Linked DNA regions of Drosophila melanogaster. The protein of the gene in region 1 interacts with the protein of each later gene in a pairwise test. Each region holds a gene or a part of one and is shown in the gene's direction. Other genes may lie near its edges.

Region 1 (10,197 bases):
TGCCACATGGAGGGCGGTCGAGCGGTGAAGGCTCCTCTCTGCTTCGAGGATTGCCAGGCCACGCATCTCCAGTTCTGCTACAACGACTGGGTGCTCATCGAGGAGAAGAAGGAGCGAAATATGTTCATCAAGAGCCGCGGCCACTTCCGGCTACCCAACTGCTCCTCCTTGCCGCACTACAACGCTTCCATGCGGCGACCCAACTGCTCCTACATCGGTCTCACCGAACTCAAGGAGTCCGAAGTGAGCTGTAAGTCTTCATTATCACAAACCCTCAAGAAGGTCTTTCTGATGCTAGAATCCCTTTTCTTCACAGACGATTGCCGCAATGGAAACGGACGCTTCTACATGGGCACAATGAACGTGTCCAAGTCGGGCATTCCCTGCCAGCGCTGGGACACTCAGTACCCGCACAAGCACTTCCAGCCACCACTGGTCTTCCATCAGCTCCTGGAGGGCGAAAACTACTGCCGGAATGCTGGCGGTGAGGAGCCGCATCCCTGGTGCTACACTGTGGATGAATCAGTGCGCTGGCAGCACTGCGATATACCCATGTGTCGTAAGATCATAAAATTTTTTCCTCTTTTACTTTTTGTAATTCACCCACTTCTGTTTTAGCGGATTATGTGGACCCCAATGCTGTCGATTTGAACACGCCCATCAAGATGGAGAAGTTCTTCACGCCATCGATGATCTTTCTCTTGGCTGGAATAGGTTTCGTGGCCATTGTGACCCTGCACTTGATGATATTGCTAGTCTATAAGTTGTCCAAGCACAAGGATTACTCTCAGCCTGCGGGAGCAGCCACTGCCGAATGCAGTGTTTCCATGCGTGGAGGAGGAGATTGTGGCGGCAATCTGAACACCAGTAGAGAAACCCTCGGAGGCAATGGAAACACGAACACCTTGGCAAAATGGGGCACCATCAGGAGCACGGCCACAATACACAGCAATTGCGTGGCCCTTACTACGGTGACCAATGTGTCTGATGCGAAGGGCACGAAACCGAATGCACGCCTGGAGAAGTTGGAGTACCCACGCGGGGATATAGTGTATGTGAGATCATTGGGTCAAGGAGCCTTCGGTCGCGTCTTCCAGGCCAGGGCTCCTGGACTTGTTCCCGATCAGGAAGATCTACTAGTCGCTGTTAAGATGCTAAAGGACGACGCCAGCGACCAGATGCAGATGGATTTCGAGCGCGAGGCCTGTTTGCTGGCCGAGTTCGATCATCCCAATATCGTGAGGCTGCTGGGGGTGTGCGCCTTGGGCAGACCCATGTGCCTGCTCTTCGAGTACATGGCTCCTGGCGATCTAAGCGAGTTCTTGCGCGCCTGCTCCCCATATGCCACACACCAGGCGCCGACACAGGATCGTCTGCAGTTGAACGAGCTACATCTGCTGCAGATGGCGGCCAACATTGCAGCGGGCATGCTGTATCTTTCGGAGAGAAAATTCGTCCACCGGGATTTGGCCACCAGGAATTGCCTGATCAACGAGCACATGGCGGTAAAGATCGCCGACTTTGGGCTCTCGCACAAGATCTATTTGCAGGACTATTACAAAGGCGATGAGAACGACTTCATCCCGATCCGCTGGATGCCACTTGAGAGCATACTGTACAACAAGTTCTCGCTTGAGTCGGATGTGTGGGCATACGGCATCTGTCTGTGGGAGGTCTTCTCCTTCGCCTTGCAGCCCTACTTTGGGTTAACCCACGAGGAGGTGATCAAATACATCAAGGAGGGCAACGTACTCGGCTGTCCGGACAACACGCCGCTCTCCGTCTACGCGCTGATGCGTCGCTGCTGGAACCGCAAGCCCAGTGAGCGACCTGGCTTCGCCGAGATCAACCACTGCATCCAGCACAGCATCGCCGAGAGCGAGTGCAAGGCAATGCTCTAGGGGATTGCCGGAGAAGTGAATGAAATAATCCTTGTCGAACAGAACGATCGTCCGTTGTCCTTGGGGGCAAGCAATAGAAGCGCATGAATACGCCAGGTTGGGTGGAAAAACAATAGAAGGGAATGCCATCATCTTAACACTTGATAATAAGCTTTTGGATCTTTAGTTGTGTATCTCAGCATTGCCGCTTTTGGTTTAGGTCATATAAAATAGTTCTGAATTGCATAAAGGTGGCATTCCTTGACTATCTTTTTTGAGTCTCCCCAGCTCTTATGCATATTGAATTCAATTTTGCACAAGGTGAGATCAGAGGGGCATCTGGTTTGTGATTAAGTTAGTATAAATGACAACTCCATATCTTTAAGAGATAGCTCCGTTACCAAGTCTTTCATTCGATGCTTCCTCACATAACTTTCTTTAATCGATACAGAAACTATTTTGATACACTTATACCCTCTGATCTCTCGATCTCGATCGAATAGTCTGCCACAACGAACGCATCATCAACGTCTCGTATCCATATCTAGTCTGTAGATTAAGTTTATATATATATGCGCATATGTAGATTGCATTTTAATGGGAATATTTTTGACTAGGCTTAAGCACTGCCATCGCAGTCGCACTCCACAAAGATCGCTGATCACTGATCGCTGATCACTGGGTGGACAAACAGGAACCAGACACCGGAGACCATCAAAACAATAAGTTAAATGAGATATGGAATATTTAGAGAACTGTCTACAGCCCGAATTTCTGGGTAACTTTACATAATCTTTGTAACTAAAGCAACGTGTTGATTGTAATTTGTATAAATAAACCATCTATAACCGTATCATATCAGCAGTAGTAGTAATTATAATAGTAATTATCGTAGTAGCAGCGATTATAGGTTGCGGGATAGGGTACGGGAAGAGGAACCGGAAGAACTCCCGCGTATCCAGCGTAGCCGCCATATCGGGCATATCCGCCATATCCGCCATATCCTCCATAGCCTCGAAAGCCGCCTCCTCTAAAGCCTCCGCGGCCTGGTCCACCGAAACCGCCACGACCGAATCCTGGACCACGTCCTCCAAAGCCGCCTCTTCCAAAACCACCTCTTCCTCCTCCGAATCCGCCTCCGCGGCCGCCACCTCCGAAACCTCCAGCATGACCGCCTCCTCCGTGTCCTCCTCCGCCTCCACCTCCTCTCGCATCGGACATATGTGCCTGGGCCACAAGGAAAATCAGACAAAACAAAATCCACAGTCGGGACATCTTATCCGGCCAGAACCTTTTCAATCCGTTGGTAAATCACGACTAAGTTCCGATGACTGGGAAATTCTATTTATTGCAAATTAATTAGGACACCCGCGTTAATTGGCAATGCGGGCATGAGTTCATATATTGAAAACCTCGATCGAGTTACTCTTGTTTTTTGTTTCTGTATTTGCGTTGCTTCGCCTCTCTCCGCCGATTCACACTCCTCGATATCACAGCAGCCTAATTGATTAGGCATCAAATGTAATTTGTTCCTTAACCGAATGAACTTAAACATATAGATGGGGGATGAGACGCTGGAGGAGCTTCCTACAGCGCCTCGGGGCATTGTTTGTTTTTGCTGATGATGAGCCTTTCCGGATCCAGAGAGAGCCGCTTCAACACGTCGTACACTTTGGATCGGATATCCACCTCGAAGTCCCGATCACGTCCAAGAATCCAGATCTGATCGGAGTGACCCAGTGAGCCAATGCTGCCGCAGGACCACAAGATGGCGAAGTTCTCGTAGTCTGTGTATAGCACCTGGTACTTTCCGGAACCTGGCAGTAGTCGGGCAATCACGTCCGGAAATCGGGTGGTAAACTAGGAAAAAGGAATTGTGTATATTGTGTGTTGTTAATATTATTTATTGTAGATACCTTAAAATCCATGATGGAGGATCGGCTGTTTTCTGGTGTTGCATAGCCAATGTTCACATTCGGATTACCAGTTCTAAAAAGGACAAACACTTCTAACACACAATATATATTATTAGATTATTTAATCATACATGCGATTAATGTTTTTAATGGCCACAGCCAGCTTGAAATTGGAAAACTTCGATTGTTCGCCCTTGTTGTACGGCTCAAACTGAAAGGTGGTGCATCCGGAGGCGATTTCCGGAAGGTAAAAAGAGCGCTCTACCTCGTACCAGTGTCCAAGGACCTACAAGATAATGACATTACATAAAATAGATATTTTTACTTCCTTTTCAACATGTTCTTAAGTTCTTAAGTAAGTTGTTTCAGTGAATGGAAATTCTTCTACATATTCCAATTACTTCATTAAATCTGAAGGGTTTTATTGGAAGTAGAATCACCTGATAACCATCAGTCTGAAAGCCAAAACCTTTGTCACGCAGCGTTTCTCTCGGCCAAGAAACACTTAACTGGGTTACTAATCAAAATGCCACTTAGCGCAAACAATGCGTAAAACGTAAACATTTTTGAAACTGGTTATAGACTCGGTTGTGGCTGCTGGTCATTGAGAAGAGCCGCTCTTTTGGCCGCTGCTCATCTTGCAGTTCAAAGTCGGCGGTGGGCGCCGCATCGCATTAAAGAGCCACTGCTGGCCAGTCGAGGTCTTTGCCCCGGGTCAAAAGTGCGTTTAGGGGGCGGGGCCGGTGGCAAATGGCTTAATTTACGCCTGTCAACAACTCAATTGGATGATGTGCCATTTGGAAGTGGAAGTGGAAGTGGAGAGGAGGTCGCTAGACCCACATAATGTGAGTGACAATGCCTCCACCTCAACCGGGCAATTATGGTGCATTATCTTTTATGCAAATCAAGGCTCAATCAATTTAATTTGAGCTGCTTAAGTGATTGTTCCAATTTTCTATCCATGATCTCGACAGTGTATCTAAGCGAACAGTCGTCGGCTTTTATAGCTTAAAACAACTACGTGCATTTATGAGTACTAAACAAAGTCCATTTATGGATTCTCAGAAATACTTTGAAACAATCTTTTTACAGCCACCTGAAACCAATTTTCTAATTTTCTCTTTCGAAAAACATTAGTTTCACATTTGTGATGTCATATCGGTGGTTTGGCAAGATGATTCCATAATTACTTGATTGAAATATTGGCTGTAATAGCGAAATGTTCGCACCAGGAATGTTCCACTGTAGTGCACTTTGTTGTCCTTGGCGTGCCCATGTCTCAGCATTGGTACTGGTTGATTTACTTCTTTATAAAATAAGTGGCTTGTTTACCATCAGCAGGCCATAAAGCTTTTGTGCCGCTCGCCTCCTTCTGTAAAACTGGTTTGCATTTTACACGGCGGATCGGATTTGGTGGCCTTAAAATGGTTCAAGTTCATCATCTGCACAATCCCCAAGATGTAAAGAGGGGTCTTCGTCTGCGCCAGACGCCTTGTGCCAATTAATCGAAGATGTGACACGTTTAAGACGATGGCAAATAGACAGGCGATGAGTGGCCAGTTATACAATGCATCTCGTTGTTGTAAGGACAAACAGTTCTCATATATTCATACTCATAGTTATTTTCATACTCATAAATTCTTTGTAATCTTATAACTGGTGTTACTCAGTGGGTCAATAGACACAGATCTTTAGTAACAGGTTTGAAAGGTGGTTTAATAAAGCCAATTGCAAATATGTATATATAGACTGCAAACAAATGTCTGTATGAATATTTACAACACCCAAACAGGCTGTTAATAAAATAGCGATCGAAATATGTAGCAATTTTAGTTAGAGTTTGTAGAGTATGTATGAGAAAACCAGCAACTAACTTACCCGACTCATGTTAAACTTTGGCATCGATGGATAATTCGGGCAACGTCCAAATCCGTAGGCATCTGTCCCAGCAAATGTCACTAATAGCACTCCGGACAACAGCCAAACCCTCGAGCCAAGTGGCTGGCCACTCATCATGGTTGCTTCTGATAGTTCACTTTGAATATTTGGCACTTTAGGCGGCAGAATCGGCACTCCAGCACCTAACTAAACTGTGTGGAATTCGAAATCAGGCAATTTCCATTGAACTCGACCGTTTTAACTTGGCTGTGCACAAAGCGGTGATTTCCGATACGACGGGTTCACTTGGCCAACGAACTATGGATCGTCATGAACCAACTACATATACATTTCCTCAAAGGTACACCATGTCCGTCCATTAGTATTCCGGATGGGATGTGTGCGATAATGGAACGTGCTGGCTACCGGCTTAGTGGAGCAAGCCGGACCGAATTGGTAGGTCCCGCAAAGAAGAAGAAGTAAAGTGATGTGATGTGAGGTGAAGTGAAGTGAAAACCACTAACTGGGTTGGCGCGGCGCCGTGTTTATTATTGATATTTATTTTGGTTTTTGGCTCGTGCCCGGCCAGCGAGTTACGTAAAAGAAAAGCCAACGTCAAAATGCAGCTCGAAAACTGGTTGCTCCACCGATTTTCGCACACACCAAGAGATACTTATTGCGCATTGCAAAAAGCGGGTAAAAGCGAAAATACCTAATCGAGGAAATACTGCGCTGGGATGCATCAATTGTGTCATGGAGTTAGTCGGGTGCATTGCTCGATTTATCTGCGAAAGTGGGCATGGTGTAGACATGGTAGCTTCATTCGAGCGCATCAAGTTCAAGAGAAATAGGAAGTGGCTTTTCTTTGCGCTATTTCGGTTTGCCATTATCGCATGGGCAATGCTAACTATAACTATTTGATTGATAGATAGTGATGTGAAAGGTACTTTGATTGGTAGCTACATAGTATAGTTCATCAGTATCAGTTGGCAATTATTTAATAATATTGTAATTTAAGACGAAATGGAACTTGATAAAAATGATTATGTATATTTTAAATACAATCGTGACTTTGAAAGAAGTATTTCCTTGGGTCTAATTGAATAGTGATATAGGTAAATAGTAAATAATTATATGAAATGCAATAGAATTTACTATATATTAAAACAAGGACATTTGCAAGGAAGAGTGAATACTTGTACCTAGACTAGATCGCGACACATAGCGTAAATTGTTGTATCTAGACTACCAGCCAGGTACACCCAAATATACACTTCCCATCACTGCCAATAGAAAAAAGTGTTAATTTCACAGAAAACGACAGCCGCAAGTGGCTGAAAATAAACCAAGGCAATTGCAAAATACTCTTGTTGTCCAGCTGATTTCACTTTGTGCACATACAAGTATCCGTTTCGATTCGCGTGTAATGTGATAAAGTTTTCTTGCAAAATGCAGAACTAACTATATCTCTTTGTTTACATCGGCTTTTTGCGGTGTTCTTTGTCTTCTCGCGGTTTTTATCTCGCGAACTCGAATTTCAGATGGCGCCAGTAACGCGGCTCATTCACATCGGTTGACCGATCGCAGCAGCAGTTCAATGGAAACTGAATGGATCGGCGGTTTGAATTGAATTCGATTTCGTTATTTCCCACCGCACGGTCACACTGCGATCGCTGCTCTGCCTATCGATATAAAATAGTAATCGATCATATATTTGAAATGATAACTAGAAAAGAACCGTTACGTAGCAAGTTTATTTGAGTTCAGTATCATAAAAATATTGATAAAATCTAGGTAATTTTTAATAAAAATTTAAAATCTGTTGTAACTTGTTGTATTTTGTTGTTAGCGAGTCAGCTCGGTGGGACAGGTCAGTGGGACACGTCAGCGGAACAGGTCGGTGGGTCAGATCGGCGGGACAGGTCGGTGGGGCAGGTGGGCGGGACAGGTCGACAGGACCAGGTTTTTGAATAACAAAAAATAAATAAAAACGTCCCCTAGTTCCATATTCCACTGTTCCTCCATCGCCGCCAATTTGGCGCACATCTTAAAGATATCCGCGTATTGGTATTTTTTAGTACATTCGTTCATCCATCTGTTTCGGCGGATATTTCACGCATTTTGCCTATAGTTAACTGAGTTTTGTGGTGAGTGCTCGATTTAAATGGATATTTAATGTAAGAGAATGTTGGAGAAGGGCGTGGTTGCACATTTTTCGCCCACTGGCAATTAGCCTATGTCAGCATACACACCCAATTGAAAAGATTTCCGTACCGTATGGTCGAATGCTTCAATTCTACATATGTATGGGGCATACCCGCGATAAGAAAGCGTCGGCTAGATGACACATAACTTCAGGGAATTAAGGCGGTTTCAATTGATTTTTCACAGAAAGGGCACGGAACCAGACTGTCAAAATGGTGGCCATCCAATTGTTCAACGAAATCGGCAGTATTTTCCGAAACGTAAGTTTGCATTCGCCTTTTTCACCACATTTAGCTTACTCCAGTTTCTACTCCTTCCACAGACCCCCACGTTTGCTCTCGTCTTGGAGACCCTACTGCTCATAACCGTGATTTGGTTGCTGCTCCACAGACGAGGAGGAGGTCGTCGCCGACAGCTGACCAAGGAGGAGGAAGACCGAATAATCGCCGACTATGAACCAGAGCCCTTGGTGGCCGACACCGATCCCAATCATCCCCTGCTGCACACCCGCGTTGTGCAGTCCAGGGTGGGCAAGCGCATCCAGGTCGATGGACACGACTGCCTAAATCTTGGCTCTCACAACTATCTTGGCTTCCTCGAGGACCAGGAGATACTGGAGGAGGCCTGCAAGTCGCTGCGCAAGTACGGAGTTGGATCTTGCGGACCTCGGGGCTTCTACGGCACTATGGACGTGCATCTGGACCTGGAGGATCGTATTGCCAAGTTCATGGGCCTGGAGGAGGCCATTGTCTATTCCTACGGCTTCTCGACCGTGGCCAGTGCCATTCCGGCGTATGCCAAACGTGGCGACCTTATCTTTGTGTAGGATTGTCTACTTCACCTACTCAGATTGGCGACTAATTACTTGTTATTTGTAGGGATGAGGCTGTCAACTTTGCCATTCAGAAGGGTCTGGATGCTTCACGAAGCACAATCGTTTTCTTTAAGCACAATGACGTTGAGGATCTAGAACGTCTGCTGATTGAGCAAGAAAAACGAGACCAGAAAAATCCGAAAAAGGCGGCTAAGACACGTCGCTTCCTCGTCGCCGAGGGTATCTATATGAATACGGGCGAGATTTGCCCACTTCCCGACCTGGTGGCCTTGCGTCAGAAGTACAAGCTGCGTTTGTTCATCGACGAAAGCATCTCCTTTGGCACATTGGGCCAGGGTGGTCACGGAGTTACGGAGCACTTTAATGTCGATGTAGGTGGTAAACCGGAAAGAAAAACTAAAATTATAACTGGTATTTTTCTTTTAGCGTGATGAAGTCGATCTGATATCGGCCGGCATGGAGGGTTCGATGGCAACAGTCGGTGGCTTCTGTGTTGGCTCGCACTTCATAGCCGAGCACCAGCGCCTCTCTGGCTTGGGCTACATCTTCTCGGCCTCGCTGCCGCCCATGCTCACCCAGGCGGCTATTTCAGCGTTGGATCGTTTCGAACGAGAACCACAAATCTTCGAGCAGCTGCAGGCAAAGTCTAAGACGTTGCACCAGAAGTTTTTGCGATTCAGCAAGCTAACCCTGCGCGGCGATGAGGTGTCACCAGTGAAGCACTTGTATCTTGCCCAGCCCGCCGAGAACTTTGACAAGGAACTGAAACTTCTAACAGAGCTGGCTGATAAGGTAGGCATTTTATTTCCCCATGCAATTATGAAAACTATACATTTCTACTCACTTTTCCCAGTGCATTGCTCGTGGAGTGGCTGTGGTACAGGCTGCCTACCTGCAGAACAGGGAACGCCAACCAGTCCGTCCCAGCATTCGCATTGCTGTCAACCGTTTGCTGGAGAGTTCGGAAATAGACAATGCGTTTGAGGTCATCGAGAGTGTTTCCAGCTCCGTCCTATAAGCCTTGTTGTTGGAAAGGAATGATCTTCTTTCGACAATGGCCTTGCTGTTAAGTTTTAAGGCCTGCTGGCCCCATCATTTTTTCATCACTTCTTCACGACCAGTCCAGTATGAATTGTTTAAGTTAATAGCTAGCCTTGCACTTGCTCTTTGCACTTTGTTGCATTGCATTTTAATGAAAAATTTTAAGTCTAGGAAAACTTTCAAAGATTACACGTTATAGATAACAGAGCTGGTTAAATAAAACTATTAAGTTTATTTGGTAGTTACGTGCCCTTTTATTGGTGTTTCTTATCGCCTGCGCAATCGCAAACGTTTTTGAATATCCCGATAAAGATAAGGGTAATATTATGTGGCATTTGTTGTAAAATTTACAAGAACAACTTCCACAAAGAAACATTCATTATTTATTTATGTTTTTCTTGCATGACAATTAAGATACACATCACACGCTTAATAATAACTA
Region 2 (10,197 bases), on another chromosome or scaffold:
AACCGAGTGTCCTTTAGTGGAGTGAGCACAGTTTCTGACAGCTGGCCGTAAATTATTAACGATTTATATCTGCAATTAACTTGGTGGCCAGATTTTAGATTCTATCATTTAAATGGTTTAAATTATTTTACTAGACCATGATGAATTGAAACACTTGCCACTTTTGATTTGCAATTATAAGTTTTTAGATTTTTAAAAATATTTTTTCCTAAATGAAATCACCTAAGATAATAAAATCTACTTTCTCTCCACAGGTTCCATTATCAATCGATTTCAAGTGAACACGCAACTCAATGTAATCAGTTTATAAAATAAAACAAAAAAACACATGAAATTAAATCAATATATTGTATATTCAGGAATTGATATATTAGTGAATAACTAGCGAGAACGAAAAAAGTGGAAAAAGAGCGACTTAAAAAATAACTATTTACTTAGGACCTAGTTACTCCTCATTTTTTTTTTTTTTTGGATGTTGTGTAGAACCGTCGTGAACCACCGCATGAAAGAAAACCACCAAAATGAAAACTAACTAATATATATATGTACAATCCCACAGACTATTTACCTATAGAACAGAATCCAATGCAATTAGAAAGTGGAAATCCTCAGGTGCTTTTCGAACTAGCTCGTTTTTCCATTTACCAGTTACCATTTAACCCTGATTGATTCAATCAACCAGCGCAATCAAAATTGAAAAGAATTGACAAATATACCATGGTACCTAAAAACAAAAATCAAGCAAAAAAAACCAAGCAACATTAAAACATTAGTGAAAACTAACTAAACAATGAAAATGAAATCTAGGCTAAGAGCAAAACGATTTATCGCCAAACCAGCAATAAAACGATGTGGAAATTCAACTATTTTTGAACTGGGCTGGCTGCTTGCCCAGCCCAGCAGGTCAGCCAGCCTTTAGTTCGAGTAGACCAGGCCCGAAATCCAATAACCCCAATTAATAATAATAATACTACTACATACATGACGAACAACTTGAGAATTTGATGATTTCTTCAATTTTATTTCGGCTTTTGTGTGTGTGTGGCATGTAACGTAGTGCAATTCGATGAAATCGAATATTTGGAAAAACTGTCTCGTTTAAAAATCATCTGAAAGTATTCATTCATATTTTGCAAACAGTACTTGTTCCTTCTTTTTTTTAGTGCACATATAATTGGTTTTTTAAATTTGCTAATATTGCACAATTTGTTTTATTTTCTTCTCTATAAAATTATAGGAAAAATGTAATTAATTTAGGTTTATATTTACAAAAGATTTGGGTATTATTTTTGCACCCTTGATTAAAAATGGAAATATGAATTGAAGAGATCGCCGCACTCTCAAGTCGTTGAAGTTTTCTTTTATATAAGTCTCGATGTTGTTGTTTCTCATAGAGTGTACACATAAACATAGGATATATGTCCTCGTCATAAATATATTTAGAATGTACATAACAAAATACTCGAATATTTAATTTACTCTCTGTGTTCCTCTATTCGAACCGGAAACGAGTTTGCGTCTTCTTAGCACTCCAGGAAAATGAAGGAAAATGCCCCAATTTTCAATATGAAATGGGTGGAGAATTAAAGAGACCCGTAACTAAAAATTTCCCTTTCCTCTAATTTGACCTGAGCAAAATGTCGCTGGACGACGAAGGAAAAATACAAAAGATGTGTGTAAAACAAAACTAGAGAATTTTTTTATTATTAAACATAGTCAAGGATAATCAACACGAGATGATGGAGAATTTGGATGATGATGGCAAAAATGATGATGAGAATGCAAGGATGTAAAAGATATATTTATAGAAATGAGCTATATGTATACATAATGACAGATTGATTATATGATTATATAGTAACTTATTGTCACAACGCAAGAGCAATCAATGTTTAACTTTATTAAATGTTACAAAGAGTTTTAAATATTAAATATACTTAATGAAATATATACAGATATACCTATATATTGCAGATTATATTCTATACATATAATTTGTAGGTGAAGCTGAGATGAAAATGAATAAAAAATACTAGTCGTACTCGTAGTTCGCCATTATGTTTGCCAAAAATCGGAGATAAATGTAAGAAAAGTTGTGTCAGCCATTGCAGAAATTCGAGGGAAATTATTGTATTTAGCAAAAGGTTTTCCAGAATCTCATAAAACTCCATTTGTAAATCTATTGTACCCGCCAAATAAATAATCGTGAACCACAATCCTTATATTCAAAATAAGCAAACCACAAAAGAAGAAATTTTGGAAAGGCACGGTTTGAAAAAAAAAACCGGGCTGGCACTCTTTCTAATTTTTTTTTTGTTAGCATTTATTTCAAAATCGTTATTTCTTGTGTCTTAGCAATAATAATATAATTAAAATGTGTGTGTCGCTCTGTAACTGTCTCTATTGTGTTTGAGATTACTCGTATCTTATAATGAATATTATTACTAAACTAAAGCAAAAGTAACAAAAAAAAAGAAAAGAAAAGTAAGAAAGCAAAAACGCAGGAGACGCGGAATGGAATCCACAACAGAAATTAAAATTACTAATTAAAACGATTACTTACAGTAGACTTAAGAATACAATGATTAAATAAAGAAAACGATTTCCTTACATTAACATTGGTGTAACATTTTTCGGAAAAGCTCTTTTGGCTTAACAGAAGTTGTTGAAGGAAATAGAAAAGCTTTTAACGGTCACTTTCCCAAGTCACAGTAACACTGCTTTCTGCAAAAGCTTAAAGCTTAAAAGTGTTAGCTTTTTGAAGCTGTTAAAAGTCGATATTATAGGTTTATTTTGGCTTAAACCAATAAACCAGAGTGAAATGCTGGCTAAAAGCTGTGGTCGTTTAAGCTTTATTTTTAAACGGATTTCCGTTTTTTTTGCTAAGCAAAGGTTATTTTTCCCCTGGGTTACGTGGAAAATAGCTTGTTGAAAAAATATAACATCAGTTAACCAACTTGTGTCGTGTTAACGTGTCAAACTTTTCCAATTACTCACATGCACTTGGGCTCACCCAAATAATTTACCTTATATCATATCCGTTGCATCCAGTTACATATCCGGAACAATAGTTAAACCAATTTCGAGATTAACAACACGATTAGTACGTATAGTTAATATCTACGTGGTTTCTGATTATTCAATAAATAACTTAGGAAATGTTATGGTTGGTGGGGAATTTCTTGAAATAAAAACTTTATTATTTTTGATATAATATTTAAACATATTTTGATGTATTGGCTTAAGTTAATAAGTTCGCATATAATTTGTGTAAGCCAGTCATTTATTTGAATTGCGATCAAGTGTGCAACCTTGGCGCACTGCCCCCCACTCGAGAACATGCTCTACGGCTGTTTAAACTTTGGAGATGGTTAATAAATTTATTTTGTTTATTTTCGGCCGGGTCACGCTTTCCCCAAATGACCCTCGTCATAAAACGCGCGAGAATCTCTGGGTAAATATAAATATAAGAATTGCACGCTTTGGTTTTTGTGCATGAAAAGTTTACTTCGCATTTCGGTTTCGGCCAATTGTTTTTCTTGGCCCTATCACCTTTCACTGCGAAATATGTCTAAACGAGAATGTTTTGTGAATCCATTAAGACGCAATAGAGAATTTTCCTATAGCTCGTAGAGCGTTCGGTGATGTCTCCGCAGCACTGGATTGGAAATGTATATATCTTTCTACTTGGCCACCTGATAGGCGAAACAGCTTTTCCCCTTCGAAAATCTCAAATTGTTCAATTCCGCTTCCAAGAATGCGGAACGGCCAGCAGGCGGTCAGGCAAAAGTTTTTAGGAGCCGAAACAGCTGTTCATTTGGCTGGTGACTGACTTGCTCTGCAATTAAAGCGATTTTTTTCGCGGAAGAAGGCCCTATTCGAATAGTTTGGATACACTCGAATTCTTGGGAGTAAATATTGAAGAACTTCTTCAAAATTCTCCTGCTCAGTTCTAAAACCAAAACAATGGGATTTACTTAGGTTCCGTTTCATATGTGTGTGAGTGTAAGCTTGTACTTGAGAACAAGTGCGTTTATTTTTAGCCGAGTATTGAATTAATTTTCGTACGGACTTGTAAAGGAGCTTACATTATTTTCGTAGAGCAACCTGGCAACCTGTTGAAGGGGCTTGCAACTCGAACCGCGTTCGCTGCCAGCATCGAGCACGTTGCACGTGGCAAGCAGCAATTGTGTGTTTACTCAATATTCTCGGCGTGCCGCAGATTGTGCCTTCCAGAAAGCAAAATAAACAAATAAAAGTTCCATGAAAAGGTATCATTTGTCAAGCGACAGCCGACAAATGAATACACATATGCATGTATGTATGTATGTATGTATGTCCTATGTACCCAACGACTTAGCGGCTTAAGTAGCTGCTCTAAATAATAAATTCAATTGTAATCAGAATCGTTTATGTAAATATTCAAATCGTCAATTTACCCGGACAGAGAGTGAGATAGAGAGAGTGTAAGAGTGTGACGTGGGGGGGGGGGGGGGTGGAATTGTCCTCCAATAATCCGCGAGGCAAGCAAAAGTCTGGGAGGGGGGGGGGTGGCAGGTGTAGATAAGCACCCCATTAAGACAACAATAAGCTCAACAAGTTGTTCTGGAAAACTGTCAATTAGAACCACCAACACGCACTGTGGCAGCAACAATTGTTCGAATGAAAACACAACATGCTGCATGTTGCACGCTCGAACATAGCCTTGCCATGGAATCGATGTTGCATCAGAGGTGTAGATGGGGGCTATTAGGAATTGCAGCGTAACTAAATAGTATTAGAACTTAAACGCAGAGCAGAGAACAAAGAAATGTGCACTCCGAAGCTGCGGAGTTCTCAAATAAAATGAAGCTAGCATTTTAGTAGAACTATTACTTGCTATTAAGTATGTACAATAATCTCAATAATAAGAACTAAATAATAATAATGAATTGGTTTGATGATGAAGCAAGCTCCTTGGGCAGTCATGAGCATACCAATGCAATTCTTTCGCTCTCGAAAGCGGCGCCTCTGTTTGAAGTCGCACTGCCTGTGAGTAGCGGCTGCAACGCAACATGTTCGATGGTTCGATGGTTCGAAGGTTCGATGCCTTCGGTTTTGGTTGGGCGGCGAGTGGGCTGCGCTAGCATCCGCTGGTCAGTCGCTCGCGGAGCGTCGTCGTGAACGGTCAGCCAGCGCGGCTAATAAGTAACCAACTGTAGTGACAGTGCGATAGTGACTCTGATCCGAACCCGAATCCCAGGCCCACAACAGATACGTCCAGCGTGTGGGCAGCCAGAACAGAGTGACAAGAATATCGGAGCCGACAACAACAGTAAACTGAAAGATAGAAAGAAAGAAAGAAAGGCCAACCTGCCGATTAAATTCCAATTGAGTGTTACGAGTTTTTTTTTCGAGTGAGTGCGGCGGTAAATATTTCGATCTTCTTCCCTTTTTTTTTTTTTTGCTGTGCCACCAACAGAAACCGAAAAATGCAAAAATTAAAAACCAATCAGTGAAAATCGCCAAAATTGCCAAAATATCAAATAGAAAAATATGGAAAATAGTTGAATCGAAGAAACGCAGACCGCAAAAATTTATAGAAAGAAAACAAACACACAACACACACACAAAGAAAAAACAAAAGGGGCAGACAGAAAGAAAGCGCTTTTATTATTTTATTTAACGATTTTTCTTCTTGCAATTTTTATTTTGCACACTTTGTTGTTGGGTCAGTCAGTTGGCGGCTTTCGCCACTTTACGAGCAACTTCCTTTTTTGGCCGGAGAAAAACCAGTCTGGCCAAGAGACCAAAAGACCCCTGGCCAAAAGACGTCGGTCGGTGGGCACCAAACACTGCGAATGTAAACAAAACAGCAGCAAACCGTATTTGTTTATGACTCGGCTTGGCCAGGATAAAGCCCAGAGACTTTGAGACCAACTAAATCCCACACCCCCAACCGCCAATCCCGCCCTCACCAAAAATATGATTTGCTAGCATTTCCCCCCATTCCCCGGCCGAGATTCTCAAGTGCGAGAGTTGCAAAAAAAAATGTGGTCCCCCCTCCCCCCTTTTATTGCCGCACCGCGTTGAAACGACACCCGGTGAAAGTTTCCCAGTCGCAACTTAGAACTCTCTTCATTTTCGGGTTTCTTTATTTTTTGCTTGATAAATGAGTCGCTGGCATAGCCCCCGGGGCGGTAAATCATCTCTGCTTGTGGCACTGACAATTTCACAAATTTATATATTTGCCACAACAACCGACCGAAACACTCACAGTCGAAAGTTTTCCACTTCGAGTGCAAATTTGACTGGCTTGGAAAAGTCCAGGCGAGCAAATTGGCCAGAGGTGTTGCCAACGAAAAAAAAAAAAAAAAATGAATTGGTAACGAAAACAATTGACGAAATCGGAAGTGACAGCATGATAGTTCAAGTTCAAACACGCATAATAACTTCATTGAAAACTGTAAACTTGAGAGTAAACAATAGTTTTCAAAGATTTCACGAAGTGTCTTCAGTTCAGCATATTAAATATACCCAAATACGGTTTCAAATTGACATAGATTAGTAATTTAACATAGGAACAGTTAAAAAAGTTAACCAGCTGGTGTGATAATATCTATGAAATTGTTGGTTTCTGGAACTTGAGAGATTCGCAAGTTCTAGCAAGCAGCGGTTGTTAATGCATATGAATACGAGACATCGAGCAATTTCGAAGATATTCCACGCCAGTTATCGCCCCCCCCGCCAGTAACTGGAGGCCAGCTCTAGCTCCCATTTTTAACTGGTTACCCCGCTCGAGAATTCACCATGTCGGCTCTCGGTTTTTTCCTTCGCTTTTCGCTTACTCCACACAACACAAATCGAATTGAATGGCAATCTGGAATATGCCAGGCAGATCCAATTGCATGCCACATATGCAGATGTAATGGGAGAGTTGGCCCACTCGCCACCCCCTTGTAAGCCCCCATCGAAACACCAACACACCCCCCCCCCCCCGGCCGCTTACAAAAATTAAGCCCCCTTAGCCGCCCCGCCAACTGTACCGCTGATCTGCTTGCCTCATTGCCGGTTAGAAAGCCAATGGAACGAGTTTCGTTGAGTGTGCAACTAATTTTCTAAATTGTTGTCGCTGCTGATCGTTGAGCGTGGCAAAAAAAAAGTAAATAAATAAAAAATACACACATTATTTATATGGCCAACGTCGCACAAAGAAATTATCTGTCACCAACATTGGTCATCAATTTTGATGGGTTTTCGGCGTCTAGAATAAGCCCTTTTATCACTGACGTTTTAATCAGATCTCTTCTTCAGAAGTATACAAAATCACGGTATGATCTTGCTTGAAGATGATTTCATTTTGCTAAAACGTGTTTTAATTCACTTTTAAATCATGAATCATAAATATAGGTATTTATGTGACTATTTTATATAGGGTAATACGATAATACAGAATCGTATATACGTACGTACTTTTGTAAAATAAAAAAAATTTAAAAACGGAATAATAAAATGTATATTTATGGAAATTTTTGAACGATGGCATATTTAAATAGATAAATAATTATGAGAGTGTGGGTGATAAGGCAAAGATTTTAGATTCAAAACCATCCATTCATCATTGCGAAGATCGAACTGTCATTTTTGCGATTGATTGATTGAATTTTAATAAAAGTCTTTGAAGTCGGACTTATTTATTATTTTTTTTTTTTATTGGGTTTTTCTTCTCTTGCGAGTGCGTCGTCATCATTTAATGGTGAAGATAGAAGAAGAATTATCCGAGCCCATAGAAGGCGAAGAAGAGGAAGAAGACAGGGCTAAAGAGACAGAGCGAGAAAGAGAGTAGGAGAAAGGGAGAGAGGGATAGAGAAATGTTAATGGATTAGGAAGCGAGCTCAAAAGGCAGCGTAGAAGAAGAATCGAATCTCGGCTACTTGCGACATTAGCCCTCTCCCTCCCACTCCCGCCCGATGAAGGCGGGCGCGAAAGAGAGGGGACGAGAGGGAGAGCGAGAGCGGAATTGAATGGCCAAAGGAAAGGTGAAAAGAGGCAACTTGGCTTAGACGATGATGATGACTGTTTCTTCTGTTTGTGTACGTATGTGTGTGTGTGTGTGCGGACAAACAGGTATCACGCACACACCTACAGACACACTCACACCTGTGCGGAATAACTAAGCAGCGACCCGATTTTCAACAGAGAGCCAGTGAGAGAGATAAGAAGAGAAGAAACAGAGCCAAGAATCCGATCCATGCCATGCGCCTAAAACTATTACAAATCTATAACAAATCTACCACGAATCTACAAACCACAAGAGATCTTTTCACAGATCAATTTTATTGGGATTATTCAAAAATTTCCAGTTTCTGTAGTGGGGTGATTAAAGGAACCTGCATATATGTTAAATGTTTCAAGTCATTTCATTTCATTTTTATTTTAATATTTTAAATCACATTTCTTGTGACACGTGTTACTTCAAAGATTATCCATCAATGTAATTTGTTGATAACTTATCTTTTACATTAGACAATAAAATAAATTGCGTTCCATTTAACAATCAAACGATTTGGTAGTAAAAAGGTATGAAACTCCAACGATATTATGACTACGTTTTCGTTTTGAATAGATAAAAGTGCTTCTGTTAGCTTTCTGATTCTTCTAATTAGTTATTTCAATTCCGATTGATGGAGTTATATTCTTAGGCTCTGCCTTGCATACATAGTATATCTCTAAGCTACATATATATATATAGGCCGAAAACCAATATGCAAAAACCAGAAACAAGTAGTCTTCATATGTAAAACTCTGTTCTCATTAAGTTCTGGACAGGTCATAATGATGTTTCGCCCCGTGTCGTTCCATCGTTCGCTCTGTCTCTTGTGTACTTGGATAAAATAAGATTTTTTTTGTGATTTTGCCGGTTGCCACACCTGAAATTCAGCTCTCTCTCCCTCTCTCTCTCTCTCTCGCTTGCGCCAACGCAGCAGCAGCAAGAACAAGAACGACCAAAACGAAAGACTTAAACGACATACGTGTCTCGCGCTGACGTCGCCGCTCTCTCTCTCGCTCTTTCTCTCATCCTCTCTCGCTCTCTGATTGCTGTGTTTTTTTTTTCAGTTGGTTTCCAAAGGCGCGCCGTCGCAGTTCGAAAACCGCGGCTCTCGCCAGCAAAATAAAAAAAAAAACAACAGCAATTTAATTTAAATAATTACAAAAGAGTCTATTTAAGAAAAAACCTTCTCGAAGAAAGGCAAGAAGAAAAATGGCGCGCGTTCAACAAAGAGAAAATTAGAAACGAAAACGATTTTTTTTTCAAGTGCTGACAAAGTTTGTGTTTTGTTTTCTTTATTTTTTTTGTTTTTGTGTTTGCCCTTTTGCCTGTTTCGTTTTCGGTGTTTCTGTTTTGGTTCTGTTTTTTTTCCATATTTTCTCTATTTTACCTGTTGCATTGGCCTGCCACCAACAACAACAAGAAGAAAGCAACAACAAAAGGATATATTAAGAAAATTTGTAAAGAAAAGTGCCAGCACAAGGATTTTTGCTCTCTCTCTCGCACGATGCTGCTCTCTCGCTCACGCTCGTTCTCTCGCTCTCTGTCTGGATTACGCTCTTCTTTTTGCCAGTGACAGGTAAGCAAAAACAATAACAACCAGAAAATCAGAAAAAAGAAAAACAATTTTCTTGTAATTTTAATTGGAAAACGTGTTACGTTGCACACACAAAAATGTGGAAAACCACCGAAGAAAATCGTTTGAAATTTTTTTTTTTAGACAAACGAAGACATGTGAACCAGAAAAAGAAGAAGCTGTCTCTTGCCGGTCGAGCGGTAAATTAAGTTGTCCCAATCCCCCACACACGACCGCCCCTCCCCCCCATCCAATAGCACTAACTGGCACTCTCTGGTACTTTCTGTACCATCTGTAACTCGGGCTCGGAACGTATTCAATTAGCCAGTTTTGGTATGCAGCATTCTTTTGAGCTACCGAATATATAAGCACTGTGCTTTTTAAGAAAAACTCTTTTTATAGCCAGCCAACTCGAATTTTCCACATGCAACTGGTCAAGGCGAAATATTAATGAGTACAGAATACTAATCAGTAAATATTTTTTCACACCAATACAAGATTTTAGTAACAGCTGTCGAATGATTTCCAGTAGCCATTTATAATGGGTAGATTTTAAAGCTGTTGGTTATGCGTATCCTTTAAATCCTTTAGA

Evidence for each region. The genes of interacting proteins can lie anywhere in the genome.
Region 2: the proteins of Spt-I (region 1) and mgl interact in a two-hybrid assay, tested with the Drosophila melanogaster proteins (one large-scale study listed by BioGRID).

What each region holds. Positions count from the first base shown.
Region 1 is NT_033778.4:13,160,750-13,170,946, forward strand, and holds Spt-I (serine palmitoyltransferase subunit I), read left to right. Parts: upstream 1-7,748; 5' UTR 7,749-7,821; exon of another isoform or gene 7,822-8,065; 5' UTR 8,066-8,091; coding exon 8,092-8,139; exon of another isoform or gene 8,140-8,201; coding exon 8,202-8,701; exon of another isoform or gene 8,702-8,757; coding exon 8,758-9,085; exon of another isoform or gene 9,086-9,140; coding exon 9,141-9,506; intron 9,507-9,558; exon of another isoform or gene 9,559-9,567; coding exon 9,568-9,732; 3' UTR 9,733-9,995; downstream 9,996-10,197. Other genes in the region: Nrk (neurospecific receptor kinase), read left to right, coding at 1-250, 317-559, 619-1,901; CG15870 (uncharacterized protein), read right to left, coding at 2,723-3,094; GLaz (glial lazarillo), read right to left, coding at 3,468-3,740, 3,797-3,869, 3,928-4,082, 5,675-5,812.
Region 2 is NC_004354.4:9,495,085-9,505,281, reverse strand, and holds the start of mgl (megalin), read left to right. Parts: upstream 1-5,152; 5' UTR 5,153-5,408; intron 5,409-9,092; exon of another isoform or gene 9,093-9,306; intron 9,307-9,382; exon of another isoform or gene 9,383-9,608; intron 9,609-10,197.